2 linked regions of the Oryctolagus cuniculus genome follow. The protein of the gene in region 2 purifies or fractionates together with the protein of the main gene of each other region. This does not show direct contact. Links are inferred from orthologs where the notes say so. Each region holds a gene or a part of one and is shown on either strand. Other genes may lie near its edges. The genes, in order: HADHA and NIPSNAP2.

Region 1 (4,557 bases), on a different chromosome or scaffold from region 2:
CAGCCTACAGTTTAAGCCATTTTAACTCTTTCCCCCTAACATACCCTTGCTGCACACACCCCCACATATAACTTCTTCTAAATCAATAGAAACAAGAGGAGGGGAGAGAGGAGAGACTCAGTAAATACACAAACATGTTCAGAAAAGAACTCCAAACCACAATTAGATAACACGGAAGCTTGGCTTTGGCCATCTATACTTAACCTTCAACCAAACAGCAAAGCTGACTCCACAGCAGCTGTGTGAACTCTGGCCTACATCTACTGGGCCAGCCAAGGAGAAAGAAACCTTTGGCCTACTTTTTAATCATTGCTGTGATGTAACTAAAAAAAAAAAAAAAAAAAAAAAAAAAAATCCTCTAAGATCTCCTAAGACTACAGGCAGTGCAGAGCTGGGTTATGCTGACACCAATTTCAAATTTGAAAATGTCACTTTGGTCATTCACAATCAACAGCTTTTCTCAAAATTCAAGAAGGGATGGGATTAAGTTAGTGAAAGCCAAATTTAAAAATGAGATACCATCGACTAAAGTATCTAAGGTATTTGCCTCTAATTCATTTCCTGTGAAACTATTTTACCACTTAACATAATTAGGAGTTTGGCTTTAGGGTAGGGATGGGAATCCGATAAGGTATCTTGGTCAAGACGAAATTTTCATTTGATAGTCACAATAGTCTTATTTAGAACAGTACACTTGTACAGTGGGAACGCTTTAAAATTTCAAGAATCACAAGTCAATTTTCAGATAATTTAATCACCCACCAATAAATGTCATACATCTATTAAATGTTGGGCAATGTCATGACACAGACCTACAAGGTAAAGTATGAATCCGTTGTGTCGAAATGTGAATCCAGGTGTGCAGGTAATTTTAAATTCATTTTCAAGACATTTTTAATTGCTATTAAGAGAGGCCTTACCAATAACAAGCTACATTTTTTAACTGGGGAAAACACCATTTATGTGCATGCATATGTGTTTATACAGAAAACAGAAAAATTAAGCTGATAGCTTTTTATTACACGTTCAAAATGGAAAAATGTGCTCCAAAAATCTCTCATATATACATAATCATGGTTCTCTGAGGCGGGAGTTAATAATAGCTTATATTTACTGAGTACTTATTCTATGGAAAATTGCTTCAGAATTAGAATAACTCAGGTAGAGTTCAGGAGGTGGCACTATTCTCCATTTTAAGATGACAACACAGACAGATGAACTGCCCAAGGTCACCAGAGGGTGAAAGGCAGAACTAGATTCAAAACCAGAAGTCAGACTCCCAGTCGAATGCCATTGATTGCTATGTCACGCTACTTCTCATGCCAGAGACATTTAGTCTCAATTATTCATTCTGCAAACGGGCACAGATCCCGTCTACATCAGGGTGCGTGTCCAAAGTCACACGGCTTCTTAGTGACTAGACCCCACATGACCTATCATTTCAGCATTTCACAAGCTGCCAGTCCATAGAAACACCTTACAGCCAACGCAGGGGCACAGTCAATGACACGACCCCCCCTCCAAAAGCATGAAGCATGAATGTGGAAAACGGGGTAGGAAACCTGCAAGGAAACACAGCCTAAGGCTAAGGCAGGCACAGACGCTGGAAGATCCCACGTTCTCAACCCCTCCCTGATCTTCAGTGCGTTTCAGTTTTCTGCAATAGGTTTATGCTACGATTGGAATAACACATGACAGTCCTGCGGAGACTAAAAACATGAGTAGAACAAGATTCACGCATTCGACGAATCCCTTTCAGCAAGGGAAGACTCCAGCTACCTGTCTTTAAGAAAATAATAATAATAAAAGCATGCTCCCCCTTGGTTCAGGAGTAAGGAAAGGAATTCATATTACAAATTAAGCTAAAAGTAAAAATGTCTAATTGAGTAACTGACATAACATACAACACGCAATAAAAAGTTACGCCTGACCTTACAGACTTGGGGTGGAAGGAAAAGGCTAGGTTTTAGACAACCACCCACTTTAATCGTTTTAATACCAGCCCGAGGAGAAAAGGACAATATTGTTAATATAGGCTAGCCGGGAACAGTCACAAACAAGACTAGAGCCAGTTCTTTACACGACTTAACATTTTATTCCTTAAGAACTCTAGCTATTTGCATACCTTAAAAATGTCCCTTCCAGTAAGTTCAGAGCCTCAAATTCAACATACTCTCTATCAACACTGTAAGTACTAGAACTGCAAGAGTTATGCTCCCTACTGAAACGTAGAAATAATTTTTTTTAAAAAATGGCTGTGATGTAAAGATTAGGGGAGCGGCCGCGATCTCCTAGGCTGGTATTAAAGACATCCAAGCAGGAAGCAAGTTGCCCGTGGGGGCACAAAGACGCCACAGCCTGGGTCCGGGTGCTCCTGGAGCTCCCAGTCTAGTCGCACCTGGTCTAAGACCAACACCAACGCAAGCAAGAGGGGCGTGAGCCCGCAAGTGCAGCCCGCGAGCCCTGCGGAAAAGGCGCCGGGCCGGGTGAAGAGGACTCAGAAACCCAGGGGCTGCAGAGCCTGACAAGCCCGCAGGACCGACACGGGAGGCAGGAGAGACAGCCCCTCCGCAAGGACACAGCAAACGGGGTCCCAGGGCAGTATCCCCCCCGACGAAGGCTGGGCCCCCGGCGACTGCGGGCCCGAAGGAACACCAGGCAGCCGCGGCACGGGGCCGCCCCAGACCCCGGAATTCCACCCTGCGTTCGGGGGCACCCTCAAAGAGGGCTCACCTCGGGAGCGGAGGATCCTGAGGCCAGAGAAGCGGCTCAGGCTGCCAATTGCCCGGGAGGCCACCATCTTGAGCTAAGAGGACGAAAAGTGGAAAGCGCTTCTAGCCGGGGCGGAGCGGCAGAGGACTTTTCTTCCCGTGGCAGGGACGCCAAGGCGGCCGAAGAACTGCCTGACTAAAAATCAGAGGCCGGGCTGCCGCCGGCCCCGTAACCCTACGCTTCGTTCCCGGGTAACGGGGTCGGAAGAACGCTTTCTCCGCGGGAGAACAGGGGCCCAGGGAGGAGGGGGCGGAGGGTCGAGTTTTTCCAGTCAGGCGGGCAGCGGGCAGCCTGTGAGGCCTGCCGGACCCGCGGGCGGGGACGAGGGGGCCTTTCTAGGCAGGACCCGCCCCGGGGTCCTGCACAGTCTTGGTACTTGGATCCGAACCTTGCCCGGAGCGAGAATCCGCGTCGACACCGACTGAGGTGAGCGGCGGCGTGTGCTCGGCTATGCTTAGAGCGTTTCCCGCAGGCGAGCTCCCGGCCCGCGCCCGCCTCTCGCCCCCGGGAGAGTCGCGGTCGAGCGAGCTGAAGGGAGCTCGGAGGAGGAGGGAGGAAGACGGCACCAGCTGCAGATCGGGCAGGGGTCTGGGTTGGCTCTGAGCCTGTCACCCGCGTCTTCATTTACCACCGCAAGTCGACGAGCTGTTTGCGTGTGTGGGGACCTCAAGCCCGGGCCGTGTTGGGGTGCGTGCCTTGCTCGCCAGCTTCACCCGATTTCGGGGAAGGGCTGGGATGAGGGTGGAAGGAACTGACTCAGCCCTTGGTCCTGCGTGGTGATCCGTTGCTCCGGGGGTTTTCTAACCCAGGAGGGGCCCGGCGATCCTCTGGTCATTCTCTCCCTCACTTTATCGGTGAAGGAACTGAATCCAGCGGATCAGAGTGACTCTCTGGCCACAGGTGGTAGAAGTGAGACCAGGGCCCCAGTCTTAACTTCTTCCCGAGAGCTCTGCATCGCGGGACAGCTATTTTGTTGCTGGAAAGGAGACTTGGAATCGTGTTCTAAAGGGAATGGGCCTCAAAAGCAGGTGACACTAGTGGCCTCCTGTAGGGCACCTTGACACCATTTTGTTTAGTTCTCACGATCCCAAAATCATTGTTATCCTTTGCATTTTTCTAAACGAAGTTTGGGAGGCGCGGAGAGAGAATGTAAATTTTTTGGTTCTTGGCAGAGCCGGGATTCAGATTGCCAGGATTCGGATATGAAGCTGAACCCCGCCGAAAGGAGGCTTCTGCGGTGGGAAAGGGCAGGGAACTTAAGATGAAGTCAGATCGTGAGCCCTCGGCCGGCGTTGTGGCACAGCAGGTGCCGCCTGAGGTCCCATTTGGGCTCGAGTTTGAGTCCTGGCTCTCCACCTTCCTGCTAATGGGGCTGGGAAGGCAGCAGGAGGTAGCTCAAGTGCTTGGGCCCCTGCACCCACGGGGAGACCCTGATGGGGCTCCTGGCTTTGCTGGCTTTGGCATGGCCCAGCCTGGGTGTAGTGGCCATTTAGGGAGTGAGCCAGAAGGAAGATAGATTCATTCCTCCCCCCCACCCCCGCCCACTCTCTGTAATGCTGCTATTCAAATAAAATAAATCTTTATTTGAAATGAGTTCTCCAGCTCTGTGAGCCTAGCCTTTTAAACAGAAATTGGATAACCACTTCTGAGTAAATTGTAAGAAGGGTCTTTTTCTTTTTAAGATTTATTTTATTTGGCCAGTGCCGCGGCTCACTTGGCTAATCTTCCGCCTGCGGTGCCGGCACCCTGGGTTCTAGTCCTGGTTGGGGCGCCGGATTCTGTCCC
Region 2 (4,562 bases):
TTATAGTTAACCCTACTCTGAGTAAACAAGTTCAGCAAATAGTATGAAGAGAAAGAAAACAGAACAAAATCAAACAAAACCAAACAGACTGTTCCTCAATGGAAGAGACAATGGCTGTGAACAAGCATCCATCCTCAATACACAGCCTTCCAGGTATTCTCTTAGTTACATATGCATTTTGAGTGCCTGTGGGACAAGTGTCCAGTAGGCAGCTGGGAACTCTGGGCCTGGTGCTGAGCAGAGCTAAGGGAGATAAGCTGGCAAATGTGCGGGCAGGGCTGAGCCGCCCAGGAAGACTTCCTCCTCCTTTCCAGAAAGCACTGCCCTGGCAAGGTCACCCACAACACCCTGTCAGCAAGGGCAGTTTCCTCCTGTCACGCTGTCACCTCAGCCTTTCAGCAGCACCTGGCGCGGCTGACCCCTCTCTCCTTGAAACACACAGAACAATGACCTTGCAGCCTGCTCTTCCCAGTCTCCCTTGCTGGCTCCCGCTCCCGTACCCAGCCTGTAAACACTGGCATATCCCAAGGCTTCTTTCTCAGCCCCTCCTCTGTCCACACGCTCTTTAAGCAATCTCATCCACTCCTTCAACCGATTACCAAACAGTCTTAATGAAACTCATCAACCAACAATTCAGCATTCCTATACACTGTCCACTCTCAAATGTTACCTGCAGTCCAGACATCTCCTTCAAAGAGTCAAGTGGCCAACTGCCTACTTCCACTTGAATAGCAGGCCTGGCTATCTCAACGCTTTCCCAGGTTCTAAGCTGATCTGAGTCCCTCCTGCCTCTCTCCTCCCTGAACTAGCTAGCTAGCTGCTGGGTGGCCTTGCTAGCTTATCTTATTTACTGACATTTCCTAACAGCCAACAGTGCAACAGGCGCTCATATTTAAGGAACGAACAACTCTTAGTAAACAGAACTAGCATTTGCTAACTTGGCGATTACCCTTGATTCTGTTCCCTCCCCAGAGCCAAACAGATCTTTTAAACACGCGGATCGGACAATGTGGTGCTGCAGTTCATGCTTTCAAAGGCCATCCACGGCTCTCAGGGTCTCCCACAAGATGTGAAATTTTCTGGTCCTGTTCCCCACCTCCTTTCCTGGGTCCCCGAGGACAGACACCCTGGCTGGTATGCCCAGTTTTGCAGGGCTCCCAGTGCGTTCTGCACATGCGGTATTTGGCAGAATTAGTGAGTTAGACAATGGCTACCCCTAAGTCAGACTGGAGGCCAGGAAGGGAAGTAGACAGAGTGCAGAAGGACCCAGCAAGTGAGACAGAGATGAGGACTCCGGTGTCAACAGCGTTTGGCCCCAGTGAGAAGTGGGGATACTAGGCAGACCTAGTCCAAAGCTCGTTTACTAACTTTGTGACCTTGGGTAACTTGGGCAAACACGCTGAGTAAATATTTTCAGTGTTTGCCATCTCTTTGGGAAGGAACAAAATACAAATTTGGTAGGCTCATATTGCTGTGTGGGGAAAAAAAAAAACACAGATGACAAATAACTATAAAAAATAAAAGAAAGTTGATTCGTTAATAAACCTGAATACAAATTTAAGTATGGGGGTGGGGTGGGGCAGGGTTTCCAAAAGTTTGTGGAAAATGGAATTTAAAGATAGTGCTAGAGCCTGTGTTGTGGCGTAGTGGATAAAGCCACTGCGTGCCCCGCCAGCATCCCACTTGGGTGCCAGTCTGTGTCCCGAAGCTGCTCCACTTCCCATCCAGCTCTCTGCCAATGGCCTGGGACAAGTGGTGGAAAGTGGCCCAAATACCCGGGCCCCTGCCACTCACATGCGAGACCCAAATGAAGCTCCTGGCCTTGGCCTGGTCCAGGCCTGATTGGAGGAGCCATCTCAGGAGTGAACCAGTGGATGGAAGATCTTTCTCTCTCTTTTAAAATAAGTAAGTAAATTTTGAAAGAGATAATGTTAAATTCTCTAAGAACTCTCCAGAAGTCCCTTCATAACCTGGACAACCTGGATAAATTGGACATCCCTGCAGGCACGGGCGCTGGGCCCCAAGATGGCTAGACCAGGGTTCAAAAACACCTTTCCCCATTGGTACGCTTCACCTTCTCAGAGGTCCCATCTCTTAACTTCCAAACTAACCCTGTTAAGGAAAAAAAAAAAGCAAAATCTACAGGTGCGTTAGGATGGGCTCTGGTTACTTAAGGTGGAAATGTCAGTGACAGATTCAGATGACCAAACAGTTAATCCAATGAGGTTAGGGAGGAAAAAACGAAAGGCCTCAACACTTCGCGCTGGTCACTGTAATACTTTCTCACCCAGTCCCCCCACCACGTCACCGAGGGCTCCCGGGGGACCAGGGAGCGGCCGGCGTCAGCACGCCCTTCGCAGACACCCGGGCTCTGGGCGGGAAGCCGGGCACGGCGCGTCCAGGCCCCGCGGCCTCGGGCGCGTGCTCTGCCTCCGGCCCCCGGTCAAAGTCCCACAGGCCGGGCCGGCGTGGCGCGCAGCGGGCGCCTTCCCCGCGGCGAGGGCGGAGCCGCGCGCCCCGGCCCGTCCCCGCCGTGACCTTGAGCCCGGTGGGCAGGGTAAAGGCGCCCCGACCCCGCCGAGGCTCCAGTGTGTCCGGGCCCCGCCTCCCGCGACCTCTGCTCCCACTGCCCCTCTGCCCCCGGGCAGCCCTGCGCGGCCGGACCGGGGCGGACACCGCGCCGAGGACCCCGTGCCCTCTGCCCCGTGGCGGCCCCTCCCCGGCCGCTCCCGGAAAGGGCGGCGCAGCTCACCGGAGCCTGGGTAGGAGGCTACGCGGGGCCGCCTGCTGCAGGAGGCCTGTGGCCGAGGCCGCTCCGCGGGCGCGCAGCACTCGAGCCGCCATCTTGCTCCGGCGCCTCGGCTCCCACCGCCCGGGCGCCGCCGCTGACGCCGCCGCCGCCACCGCCGCCGGGACCCCTCCCCCGGCCGGGCCCGACCGGGCCGGGGCGGGGCGGGGCGCGCGGCCACTGCAGCGCGGGGCGCGGCCGCCAGGGGGAGCTGGGTGCGGCCGCGGCGGCTGAGTCCCCGGCGCTCGGAGCGCGAAGCAGGAGAAAAGTTGCGAGACAAGGCCCTCGGCGTCCAGGACTGGGCATGGCTTGCAAACGAGTGGAAAGAGCACGGAAAAACAGCACCGCTGTTGCGAAGGGGATCCAAGAAGTGGCGGAGGGGCGTGTCCTCGAAGCTCGTTTTTTTTTTTTTTTTTTTTTTTTATTAACCACCTTGCTACTAAAGGTTATATTGTAACAGAAGCATTCTGGGTGGACATGCACCCAAATTCTGCCGTGGCCCCGGGACAGTTCGTTTCAGCACCCAGAGGGCGCCGACCTCAACCTGTCACGGTCGGGGGCGGGGAGAACAGGCAGCACCCGGGGGGACAGGTCACCAGTGCAGGTTGGGCGAAGTGGACGCTGTTTCCCAAGAACTGGCCTGCCAGCTGGGTCCCAAAGGCTGGACCGGTGGGACGGAGGGCAGGGCGATCCTTGGGGGAAGGAACCACTGAAGCCCTGAGGCGCTGTAGAGGGAACCATTTTCAAAGCGAAAGCCGTGAGACAAGGTGGGGACAGCCTAGCAAGGCCTACAGAGGAGACTTGGGAGGAGCGCGGGTCCCCGCCGCCAAGGGGGGTATATGGAGGCGGCCACGCCACTGAGGGGTTGCAGGGGCGAGGGAAAGGGTCTCAGGGCTGGGCTGCTGGGAGGTCTCTGCATGGGGGAACGGAGATGGCAGCAAAAGGCTCCCGAGCTCGCGGCTTCTGTGAGGCTGGTCATCTCAGAGGCCCAGCTCTAGAGTCTTTTGACTGGGACAAGGCACCACCGGGGAGCACACGGATGGATGCTACAGAGGAAGCTACAGCAAGGACTTGCCCCAGCCTGGGGAGAAGCACCTGTCCCTAGGATGCCAGTGAGAAAGTGAGACAGAGGCTGTGGACCTAGGTTTAGTGAGGCTGTTGAGACCCAAGAGGCGGGCAGAAGAAGTGAGCGCAGCCTGGGATGGAAAGGACTTGTCCCAGGCCTGCGAATCACGGCTCAAGTGTGGACGAGTGCTTGGAGAGTATCTCACACGTTGCCCTAACTTCCCAAGCTCTGTCTCATGAGCTTGTCTCGAATGCTTTCAAGTCCATTCCCCTGAAAGGTAACTTTGGTGGCTAGACATTTCTTTGCTGGTCTTGCTTTTGTGTTACCATCAGGCCATTTATTCTGAATTTTCCTTCTCCACTGTCGTTTGGCTCTGGAGTTCCACGAATCCATTGCTTTCTGTTGGCAGTTGGGATGGGGGAGGAGTATTCATTCCACAGGTGTGTGGCTTAGGCTTAGGGTACTACTCAAAGCCACCGAGTAAACACAGGGCTTCCTGGTGCACTGTTTTTACATTGAGATTTTCAGGAAAAGAATAAATAAAAATGATACATTACAGCATGCATGTGAGGTTTTGAAATATTGTAGATGGCCTGGACTCTGTCCCAGAGCTGTGGTGCAAGTGTCCTGTCATCGGCTGGGGGCACACTTGGGAAAGCCACCCTGGCGCTCTCCTGGATCCTTCCAGGCTAATGGGTACCACACAGC

The links.
Region 1: the proteins of NIPSNAP2 (region 2) and HADHA purify together in Homo sapiens (affinity purification with mass spectrometry; 3 studies listed by BioGRID and IntAct, with this or other methods). This does not show direct contact. The link is inferred for Oryctolagus cuniculus from reciprocal best matches to the Homo sapiens genes NIPSNAP2 and HADHA.

The regions. Positions count from the first base shown.
Region 1 is NC_091433.1:176,563,984-176,568,540, reverse strand, and holds the start of HADHA (trifunctional enzyme subunit alpha, mitochondrial), read right to left. Parts: upstream 2,873-4,557; 5' UTR 2,801-2,872; coding exon 2,734-2,800; intron 1-2,733. UniProt on the Homo sapiens protein: Mitochondrial trifunctional enzyme catalyzes the last three of the four reactions of the mitochondrial beta-oxidation pathway.
Region 2 is NC_091450.1:65,783,900-65,788,461, reverse strand, and holds the start of NIPSNAP2 (protein NipSnap homolog 2), read right to left. Parts: upstream 2,922-4,562; 5' UTR 2,845-2,921; coding exon 2,753-2,844; intron 2,745-2,752; exon of another isoform or gene 671-2,744; intron 1-670. UniProt on the Homo sapiens protein: Protein involved in mitophagy by facilitating recruitment of the autophagy machinery required for clearance of damaged mitochondria.